Linked DNA regions of Arabidopsis thaliana. The protein of the gene in region 1 interacts with the protein of each later gene in a biochemical or structural test. Each region holds a gene or a part of one and is shown in the gene's direction. Other genes may lie near its edges. The genes, in order: MYA1 and DCP1.

Evidence for each region.
Region 2: the proteins of MYA1 (region 1) and DCP1 form a complex in vitro, tested with the Arabidopsis thaliana proteins (one study listed by BioGRID).

What each region holds. Positions count from the first base shown.
Region 1 is NC_003070.9:6,037,236-6,042,522, forward strand, and holds the start of MYA1 (myosin 1), read left to right. Parts: upstream 1-2,014; 5' UTR 2,015-2,217; coding exon 2,218-2,220; intron 2,221-2,599; coding exon 2,600-2,725; intron 2,726-3,343; coding exon 3,344-3,481; intron 3,482-3,588; coding exon 3,589-3,734; intron 3,735-3,823; coding exon 3,824-3,980; intron 3,981-4,069; coding exon 4,070-4,128; intron 4,129-4,333; coding exon 4,334-4,493; intron 4,494-4,598; coding exon 4,599-4,748; intron 4,749-4,835; coding exon 4,836-4,972; intron 4,973-5,081; coding exon 5,082-5,228; intron 5,229-5,287. Other genes in the region: HLL (Ribosomal protein L14p/L23e family protein), read right to left, coding at 400-864, 970-1,061, 1,306-1,339. UniProt on the Arabidopsis thaliana protein: Myosin heavy chain that is required for the cell cycle-regulated transport of various organelles and proteins for their segregation.
Region 2 is NC_003070.9:2,636,275-2,641,277, forward strand, and holds DCP1 (decapping 1), read left to right. Parts: upstream 1-1,762; 5' UTR 1,763-2,080; coding exon 2,081-2,239; intron 2,240-2,319; coding exon 2,320-2,360; intron 2,361-2,447; coding exon 2,448-2,497; intron 2,498-2,632; coding exon 2,633-2,777; intron 2,778-2,978; coding exon 2,979-3,035; intron 3,036-3,186; coding exon 3,187-3,301; intron 3,302-3,491; coding exon 3,492-3,971; intron 3,972-4,036; coding exon 4,037-4,093; 3' UTR 4,094-4,389; downstream 4,390-5,003. Other genes in the region: AT1G08360 (Ribosomal protein L1p/L10e family), read left to right, coding at 374-593, 813-978, 1,161-1,420; PSAO (photosystem I subunit O), read right to left, coding at 4,730-5,000.

The sequences.
Region 1 (5,287 bases):
ACCTTAATACTTTTCTGTAATCTATTATATATAAATACTTGTTGTGAAAGAGTTATTATTGTCTTTTCTATTGTTATTGTTATACAACAGGTAATATTGATTCCAAAGTGTTTAATGAGGGATGCTGTATCAAACATGAAAACTAAGTGAAGGGTTTGGAGAAGGATGGTTGTTTAAAGCTATTTCCCCTGCTTTTTTTACTAAGAGAGTAGAGTTTAACAATTAAAAGAAACCTAAATAAGAGATCATAATTGGTACGTTAAGGTTTCATAATTCATTAGAATTAACAAAAATAATGAGTTGGATAGTTGAAGAATCAACAGAAACCCAAGTGATGAATGGATCAAAGAGAGTCACATAAAGGAGATCATAACTGATGTTTTAGTGTGGTGTATTGTCTCAAACAATGTGCTGAGCCAAAGAAAGGATCTTGAGCTGTTTCCTGAGGCGCATCTCGTGCGGGACAGGACCAAACACTCGGGTACCAGTCGGTTGGTTGTACTCCATTTTCCTCTTGGAACCATGTGAATTATTCTGCCCTTTCTTTTCCTTAATGCCAACAACTACAATGGCATTGTCATCAAACTTGACTTGGCTTCCATCAGCACGTCCTTTAGGCATCGCAGCACGCACAACCACACCGTACACGACCATCCCTTTCTTCACTTTACCTTTTGGGATAGCGTCTTTCTTTACTTTTTTTTGAACAATTGGGTTAGCTTCTTTCACTGAACCAACAATGATATCGCCAAGTCTTGCTCCTTTCTTACCTCTCAGGGATTGAATGCACATCACCTCTTTAGCACACGAGTTATCCACGCATTTGAGAATCGTCCCCATTTGAATGAATGTCCTATGTTGTTGCTGTGAATTGGAAATCATCAGGACACACAATTCACAGGTTATACCCCACGAATGCATATGAAGAAAGTTTCATCAAGGACGTATATTTGCGAAAAGAGGCTTGACCTGAGAGAGGATGCTTCCATTCATCATTCCATTGGAGGAGGAATTCATCAAACCAGAGAAAGCATTGCAAAGACCTCCAAGCAATGAACGTCCTACTCATATTGTCGATGAATCATATAACGACATCACCAACAATTAGTGACATTCACAACAAGAACAAAAAAGTTTTAATCTTGAGTCTGCATTTCATGAACCAAAGCAAAGTCCATGACATATCACAAACCCAAAAACTCAAAGCTCATTTCGAAACTTATACTAAATCAATGTTGCAAAAAATCTAATTTTTAAAGAACCAAACTTTATCGAATATAATAATATTAAGAGATGAAAATGTACCTTTGGAGAGCTTGGAAGCTAAAGCTGTCGCCATTTCTGCAATTCAAAAGTTTCGATCTTTAGTGTCGCAGAGAGTGAATGAATCTTGCGATTGCACAAAGACACCAGATTTAGGGTTTAACGTCACACACTCGCTGTCGCAGCGATCATTTGGGCTTGTAATGATTTTACTCATGGATTAAATTATATAGTAAAAAAGTGGTGACGTTGTCAAAAGTAGGCGTGCCGGAGTGGTTATCGGGCATGACTAGAAATCATGTGGGCTTTGCCCGCGCAGGTTCGAATCCTGCCGCCTACGTTTTTCCTTTTTTTTCGTATTTACCTTATTTTCCTACATTTTAAAACCAGGGGCCATAACATTTTTTCCACATGTACTATAACATTTGTTTATCACAAAATCTGAAATTCTTAATTAACAAAAATAAACAATGGTGATGCCCTAATAACAAACATTTCTTTCTTCTTTTTTTTTGCTACGAACTTTTTACTTTTGTTGATTGTTCATGCATTTACAAAGACAAAATCCAAAGTTTCTTAATGTTATGAAAAATTCCTAAATCAAGAAGTTAAACGGCTGAGAAGAGGTTGATCAAGTGGAACAATTCACCGATGCCGTCCATTTTGAAGCTAGCACTGGGACCCACTAGTAATCTGTATCAGACAAGAGACAAAATAAAACCCCCCAAATGGCTTCTCCAAGCGGAGCTCCAACGAAACGCCTTTTTTTTTGAAACTCTCCACCGCGATAAGAGAGAGAGATTACCAAATTCTCACCGGAGAAGAAAAAAGGGCTTTCCTTTCCTGAGATTTCCGGTGAAAAGTCATTGACTTTATCACTCTCAAGTCTCTCCACAAGTTGATTGATTCTGCTCTAATCTCCTCATCTGGGGTCTTTCCCCTCTTGCTATTCAAATGGTAAATTCAAATATATCTCTATACCATTTTATGTTTCTAAGAGATATCTCGGTCTCTTTGCTCAACTGTTTATTTGAAAACTGAAAACCTTGCTTGTTTGTTTCGTTAATGTTGTTGTTGCGTTTGCTTGCTTTACCCCTTTTTGTTTCCTGTATGGAGACGCTAATTCTTGATCTATGGTTGTTTTTACTTCTGAAAGGTTTTGGTTTGACTATGTCTAGCTCAGTTCTAGAAGCTTGCTCTTTGCCTGAATTAAAATCTCGTTTATATAATTTTGCCTAAAGCTGTAAAATAGATGTTATGTGCCCCTTGAACCTGTAAACTCTTTTAGAGGCAATGTATGTTTTTGATGTTGTTAAATGAAATGCAATGGTTGCAGGCTGCTCCAGTCATAATTGTGGGTTCACATGTGTGGGTTGAAGATCCACATTTGGCATGGATAGATGGAGAAGTTACTCGAATAGATGGTATAAACGTTCATGTCAAAACCAAGAAGGGGAAAACCGTAAGTTTCTATAAGGTTACATCTTTATTATTTTACTTCAATCAATGAGCTTGTACGTGGCCTCGACCTTTGGGTTTAGGCTAAAAAAGAGTAGGAATAAGTCCGTTGATAAATTTAGATGTCGATTAATGTTACGTTTTATCTTGGAATGGGATACTGTCATAGTCCCGTTATATCCCTAGATCGGCAGGTTTTTACCTTCTGCATTCAAGGTAGATGTAGGTTATTGTGCTTTTAGTGTTTTGATCAAACCAAGTAACATAATAAATAGAGAAAAATACCTTCAAAGAACGTTTTTGGTATTTACTGAATGTCTTAAGGCAAGTTTATACTCAGAAATATGGAGTGCATAAAATGAAGCTTTCAGGCTTTCTAGTCGGCAGTTATCTTGATATGTTGTGAGAGCTAATTTTATTGAAACCGTTACACGTGATAGGGAAACAGCTTAATGTGATAAGATGCAGCATGAGACGTAAAAACATGATTTACGTTGTCATTTTATATGTTGTTGCACATGATATATTTTCATGATAAGTTCTTTGCTGTCAAGTATAGATGTTCACACTTCCTTGTTGGCCATGGTTCTCCTCACATATCCCCATGTTGTATGGATTTCAGGTTGTGACAAACGTATATTTTCCCAAGGATACTGAAGCTCCATCTGGAGGTGTAGATGACATGACAAAACTTTCATACTTGCATGAGCCTGGAGTCTTACGAAACCTTGAGACAAGATATGAACTTAATGAAATATACGTAAGATATTTTATCCTTTTTTTCTAACATCTCTTACTTTTTGTTGCTGCAAAGGAAATCATTTGGTATAAGCTATGATACTAATAAGTTTTGTGTTACTTCTGTAGACATATACAGGGAATATCCTAATTGCAGTTAATCCATTCCAAAGGCTGCCTCATATTTATGAAACTGATATGATGGAACAATATAAGGGAATTGCACTTGGAGAACTAAGTCCTCATGTTTTTGCAATTGGGGATGCTGCATACAGGTTTGTGCATGTTCACGTCCATCAATTTATCGTACTTCTATCTATTTCGTGAGATAATTTACTGATTTGGTCACGGTGTAAGTTATTAGGGCAATGATTAATGAAGGGAAAAACAATTCGATTTTGGTAAGTGGAGAAAGTGGTGCTGGTAAAACCGAGACGACAAAGATGCTCATGAGGTACCTTGCCTTTTTGGGAGGGAGGTCTGGTGTAGAAGGAAGGACAGTTGAACAGCAAGTCTTAGAGGTTTGTTTATTTTTTTCATGAAAAATGAGGATGATTCCATATATGGCTGTATACAGCTTAATGTGTATATCCCCAATGGCACATTGCAGTCTAATCCAGTTCTCGAAGCATTTGGCAATGCAAAAACTTTACGGAACAACAATTCAAGGTACGTTCTTCATCTTTCCAAATCTGGGGCTTATCAGCTAAGTTCATTAATTAGAAACAGTTCATACTAGGATTTATTCTTAAATGCTTGGTTCCTAAGTTTTTTTTTTTAATGTTGTTAATTGTTCTTCCGATTATGCCTTAAGAAAATCGTATTCATTGTTACTTGACCTTTTTCATTCTTCTTGATGTTACCCACCTCGCAGTCGTTTTGGTAAATTTGTTGAAATCCAATTTGACAAGAATGGAAGGATATCTGGGGCAGCTATTAGGACTTATCTGCTGGAGAGGTCCCGTGTTTGCCAAATCTCAGATCCCGAAAGGAATTACCATTGCTTTTATCTTCTTTGTGCTGCTCCGCCGGAGGTATCTTATAATTTGTTTTCTTCTAATTGACACATTAAGTGCATGTCATCCGATGCTGATATCATACTCATTTTTTTTTCTTCTATTTTCGGGTTTATTTTGCAGGATATAAAGAAGTACAAGCTGGAAAACCCACATAAATTTCATTATCTAAATCAGTCAAGTTGCTATAAGTTGGATGGTGTTGATGATGCTAGTGAATACCTTGAAACCAGACGAGCTATGGATGTAGTTGGAATCAGTAACGAAGAACAGGTCCTGAAACTAATGTGTTAAAGAGGTCAGGTTTCCGTTCTGCTACTTTCATGTTAGAGTCTGACATCCAAAGTAATTTATTTACAGGAGGCAATCTTCAGGGTGGTTGCTGCAATTCTTCATCTTGGTAACATTGATTTTGGAAAGGGGGAAGAGATAGATTCATCTGTCATCAAGGATAAAGATTCCCGAAGTCATCTTAATATGGCGGCAGAGTTACTTATGTATGGTCCTTTTTCTTACTATATTTGAATCTGTTTATCCATTTTCGTTTTAGTGGATTATATATTCGTAGTAAATGCTGTTTTTTATATTGTGCACTTGTTTTGACAGGTGTAACGCCCAGAGCCTAGAAGATGCTCTTATTAGGCGTGTGATGGTTACACCTGAAGAGATTATCACGAGAACTCTTGATCCCGATAATGCAATTGCGAGTAGGGATACCCTGGCCAAGACAATATACTCTCACTTGTTTGACTGGTGAAGCTATTTAAGCGAACTTCCTCTTCCATTTCCTCATCTCGCATTTTTATATATAT
Region 2 (5,003 bases), 3.4 Mb from region 1:
AACAATACGTCTCTGAATCGTGATTCAGAGACGTATTGTTCTTCTGTCATATGCAATAAGTTTAATTAGAGAACAATACGTCTCTGAATCGTGATTGTTTTTTGGATGTGCGTTATTGATAGCTTTATGATGTTAATAGTCTAGGATTGACACGAAGTTGTTCTGCAGTTTTGCATAAATGCTCTTTACTAAGGCCTCTAAATTTGGATGACAAATCTAAATCTTGCCTCATAAAAATTTAGGTGTATTAAGATAAGATTATTTTGTATGGTAGTGTCTATAATGTGGGTTGTTCATGTTGAGGTTGTCAATGTTGTGTATTTTTGTTTGTTTAGTTAATTTGCTTAACTCTGTTCTTTGTGGGTTAATACAGTAAGCTTCAGAGTGAGGCCGTTCGTGAAGCCATCACTACTATCACAGGGAAATCCGAGGCAAAGAAACGTAACTTTGTCGAGACTATTGAGCTCCAGATCGGTCTGAAGAACTATGACCCTCAAAAGGACAAGCGTTTCAGTGGATCTGTCAAGTTACCACATATCCCCCGTCCTAAAATGAAGATCTGCATGCTCGGAGATGCCCAGCATGTTGAAGAGGTGATATATCTTTTCATGGAAATTGATCATTTTGTGCTCTGTTTCTTGTATAATGGTTTTGTGCTCATTTCATTTGGTGGCTCTATTAGTTTCATTTGATGTTGTATATGTCTTCTGAATGTAGATGCATGATGTTTTCGGAATTTGGTCATTGTTTATTTAGGCTTCATTTCTTGCATAATTAAATATTTGCTTATTTCATCTTGTATCTTTTCGTAGGCTGAGAAGATGGGGTTGGAAAACATGGATGTTGAGTCTCTAAAAAAGCTTAACAAGAACAAGAAACTCGTCAAGAAGCTTGCAAAGAAATACCATGCTTTCTTGGCCTCTGAGTCTGTCATTAAGCAGATTCCTCGTCTTCTTGGTCCTGGTCTTAACAAGGCAGGCAAGTTCTGGCTACAGCTAATATTCCATTGTTCTTCTTTACATCCGTTTTGATTTTGGATAGGTTTTAGTAGTCTATTTCTTTTGTCAATGTCTTTTTGATACAATGCCAATCCTTTATCCTGTGAGATTATGCTTCTTTGATGATTCTTAAGTAACATTCCTTTGCTTTACTTTACACAGGAAAATTCCCAACTCTTGTGAGCCACCAGGAATCCTTGGAGTCAAAGGTGAATGAAACAAAGGCAACAGTGAAGTTCCAGCTGAAGAAGGTTCTGTGCATGGGAGTTGCAGTTGGTAACCTTTCAATGGAAGAGAAGCAGATCTTTCAGAATGTGCAGATGAGCGTCAACTTCCTCGTCTCGCTATTGAAGAAGAACTGGCAAAATGTCAGGTGTTTGTACCTCAAGAGCACAATGGGACCACCACAAAGAATCTTCTGAGCTTTCACCTACTTAAAATTGGTGGCTATAAGACACTTCTTCTTACCCTTTCGTTTTTGTTTCAGACATATCTGTTAAACAGTGTAAGAGTTGTGCTGCTACTCTCCTCTTTAGCTTTTGGTTTGGATAATTTGAAATAACTGCAGTGATTTTGGTTAATGGATTTTGTAGCTTATATTATCTTTGAATTAGATGTGCTTATTTCAAAGACGAATCAATCCACAGATGTGAATAAAAACAGAAATTTTCGTTTTCAATTTGAAAATTGTCCTCGTGGACTGTTCCATAACCAAATTCTATTGACTATGCAGTAATTGATCTTTGAATTAAAAGGATCAACCCACTGATTATACTCCAATTGAATAAATATTCTTCTTTAATGTTGTTTATAATCTCTTAAGCAAGCTCTAATGATGTATTTTTGAAGCAAACTCTAATGCTTTTATGGTCAGTATATTTATTCTCTTAAGTTTTATAACTAAATTACCATTTTTTTTTGCCAAAGCAGACAACAAAATAGCGAAGTGCGTTCCAAAAGTTAGCGTTTTCGTCTCCGTCCCCAAATCTCTCAGCTACCTTAAATCAGAATTCTAGGGTTCTTCCGATTAGGGTAAAATCGAATCCAGATTTCCCAAAATTCTGATCTTTGATTTATAAAAGATGTCTCAAAACGGGAAGATAATCCCAAATCTGGACCAAAACAGTACGAGGCTCCTCAATCTCACAGTTCTCCAGCGGATCGATCCATACATCGAGGAAATCCTCATCACAGCCGCTCATGTCACTTTCTATGAATTCAACATTGAGCTCAGCCAATGGGTTAGTCTCAATCAATCTTCGATTACATAATTTGATGTTTGCTTCCCTACCTAATGATTGATCTGTCTTTTGTCATTCAGAGTCGTAAGGACGTTGAAGGATCTTTGTTTGTTGTCAAAAGGTTACTACTTTCGATCTTTAACTATGTGTATCTTATCTTTAATCGTCTTCTCAAATCTGATTGGATCCTTTTTTTTGTTTCTTTCAGAAGTACACAACCTCGATTTCAGTTTATTGTGATGAATCGTCGTAATACAGGTCAGGATTTATTCAAATAAAGTTGGTGTGTGTCATGTGTCTAGAAAAGGTTTAGATTTAGTAATATATTGCAAGTTCTTATTTAAGGATTCAGTATTAGTAATCATCAGTGTGTTGCTGTATTTGTCTGGATAGATAATCTGGTGGAGAATCTCCTGGGAGATTTTGAGTATGAAGTACAAGGTCCATATTTACTTTACCGTAATGCATCTCAAGAAGTAAATGGCATTTGGTTCTACAATAAACGTGAATGCGAGGAGGTAGCAACTCTTTTCAACAGGTATGTATATATAAGTCACTGCATATCAGGTAGAAACTGTTGGTTTCAATTGTTGGATCATGAATAATATCAATATCGTCTTTTATTTGCCTATTATCAGACAGTTACTTGTTGGCAAATATAATGTTCTTGTATATTTGTATGAACTTGAAATTACTCTTACTCGTTGTATCTCTGCCTAATGGTTCCTTGGCATGACAGAATACTCAGTGCATATTCCAAGGTTAACCAGAAGCCAAAGGCCTCATCTTCAAAGAGGTAATATTTTCATGATTAGATTTAGTTAGTACACCATTAGTTGTTTCTTGGATGTGTTTTCTTTGAGGTGGAAACTTGATAATCTAAATCATTTTTCCCGCTGTTATATCTCTTACTTGTTAAATTAAGTTAGATTTTCTATGTACTGCAGTGAGTTTGAGGAATTGGAAGCTAAGCCTACAATGGCAGTTATGGATGGTCCTCTTGAACCATCATCAACTGCTAGGGATGCCCCTGATGATCCTGCTTTTGTCAACTTCTTTAGCGTAAGTTTCTAAAGCTTCTGTTACACACTCACACTATCATCTTCACCATGACAGCATCTTATACGACTAATGGCAGGAGGGCTTTCTATTAGTTCTAGCCTTCTAGGTTCTTGAATTATCTTCAGCGTAGTATATGGTCCAACTTAGACTCCTCAAATTGTAACACTGAATTTATCTAAATTGTTGACAGTCAACGATGAATCTTGGGAACACTGCGAGTGGGTCAGCAAGTGGACCTTACCAATCATCAGCGATTCCTCACCAACCTCACCAGCCTCACCAACCCACCATTGCTCCTCCTGTAGCGGCAGCAGCACCTCCACAGATACAATCACCACCGCCTCTACAATCCTCCTCTCCTCTGATGACTCTCTTTGACAACAACCCTGAAGTTATCAGCAGCAACTCCAACATTCACACAGATTTGGTGACGCCGTCTTTCTTTGGCCCCCCACGAATGATGGCACAGCCACACCTCATTCCTGGTGTATCTATGCCCACTGCTCCTCCTCTCAATCCTAATAATGCGAGTCACCAGCAGCGGTCATATGGTACTCCGGTGCTCCAGCCTTTCCCACCCCCAACTCCACCACCATCACTCGCTCCTGCACCCACTGGTCCGGTTATCAGCAGAGACAAAGTGAAGGAAGCCCTTTTATCCCTGTTGCAGGTTCGTCCTTTACCACATCACTTTATTTGAGCTGCTGTGCAAACCTAACGAGTTGCTTTTGACAGGAGGATGAATTCATTGACAAGATTACCCGAACTTTACAAAATGCACTTCAACAATGAAGCTGCGCTGGTCAGCATCTACGTGTGGGATAGTGGCTGTTTGATCTAGAATGTGTAGTTAAAATGTAGTTTTGTTCCCTCTGAAAGTGTTGTTGGAACCTTATAAGATACTGCACTGCCCCCTTTGTTTAACTCTTGGAATTACTTTTTCATTTTATCTACTTTCAAGTTTTTACCTTTCCTCATCAATTTTTGTTTCGTAGTCGAAAGACATGTTAAAGACTTTAGATTCACAAATCTTCATGCATGTTTAGAGTTTATTGGAACATATACACATCAAGATTAATACAAAAAACATGAAAGAGTAAGAAGAAAGAGAGATAATTTTTCTATTTTTTAAAAGATTCGAGATTGCAAGACAAAAACTGTTTGTATGGTTCAAGTCAAAGACGTATTGTGATGTTTCGTTTTGAAGTATTATCCCAATCTTTTGTGAGCTTTCCCTCGAGAAACGCTTTTAACATTTAATACTTTAGTTAGACTGACAGACATTCTTAAAATCAAGATCATATAAGAAAGACTTGTCGAGATATAGAATGAAACATCAAATAGCAAAGAAAGCTTTGTTTTGATTGATAATATTACACATAACCAAGAGAGAGCATATAGTACAAACGAAAACAAGAATAGTTATCCTTAGAAGTAATCTTCAGTCCTGCCCTTGAATCCGATTTGTCCGAAAGTGAGGCAGAGGAAGAGGCCTAAGTGCCACGTAACCAACCACAACCAGAACTGTGAAGTGAGAGCTGGAGGAGTCGGGAAGTGAGCGAGCTCAGTTCCGATGCTATCGAAGAAGAGACCCGTCAGGCTCTTCCCATTTATCGCTGGAATGCTCGACGGAGCTAGCCATCCGATCAGCCCAAATCCTACCACGTTCAAATCTCTCCTCAACCAGTTCCTCTCAAAGCTT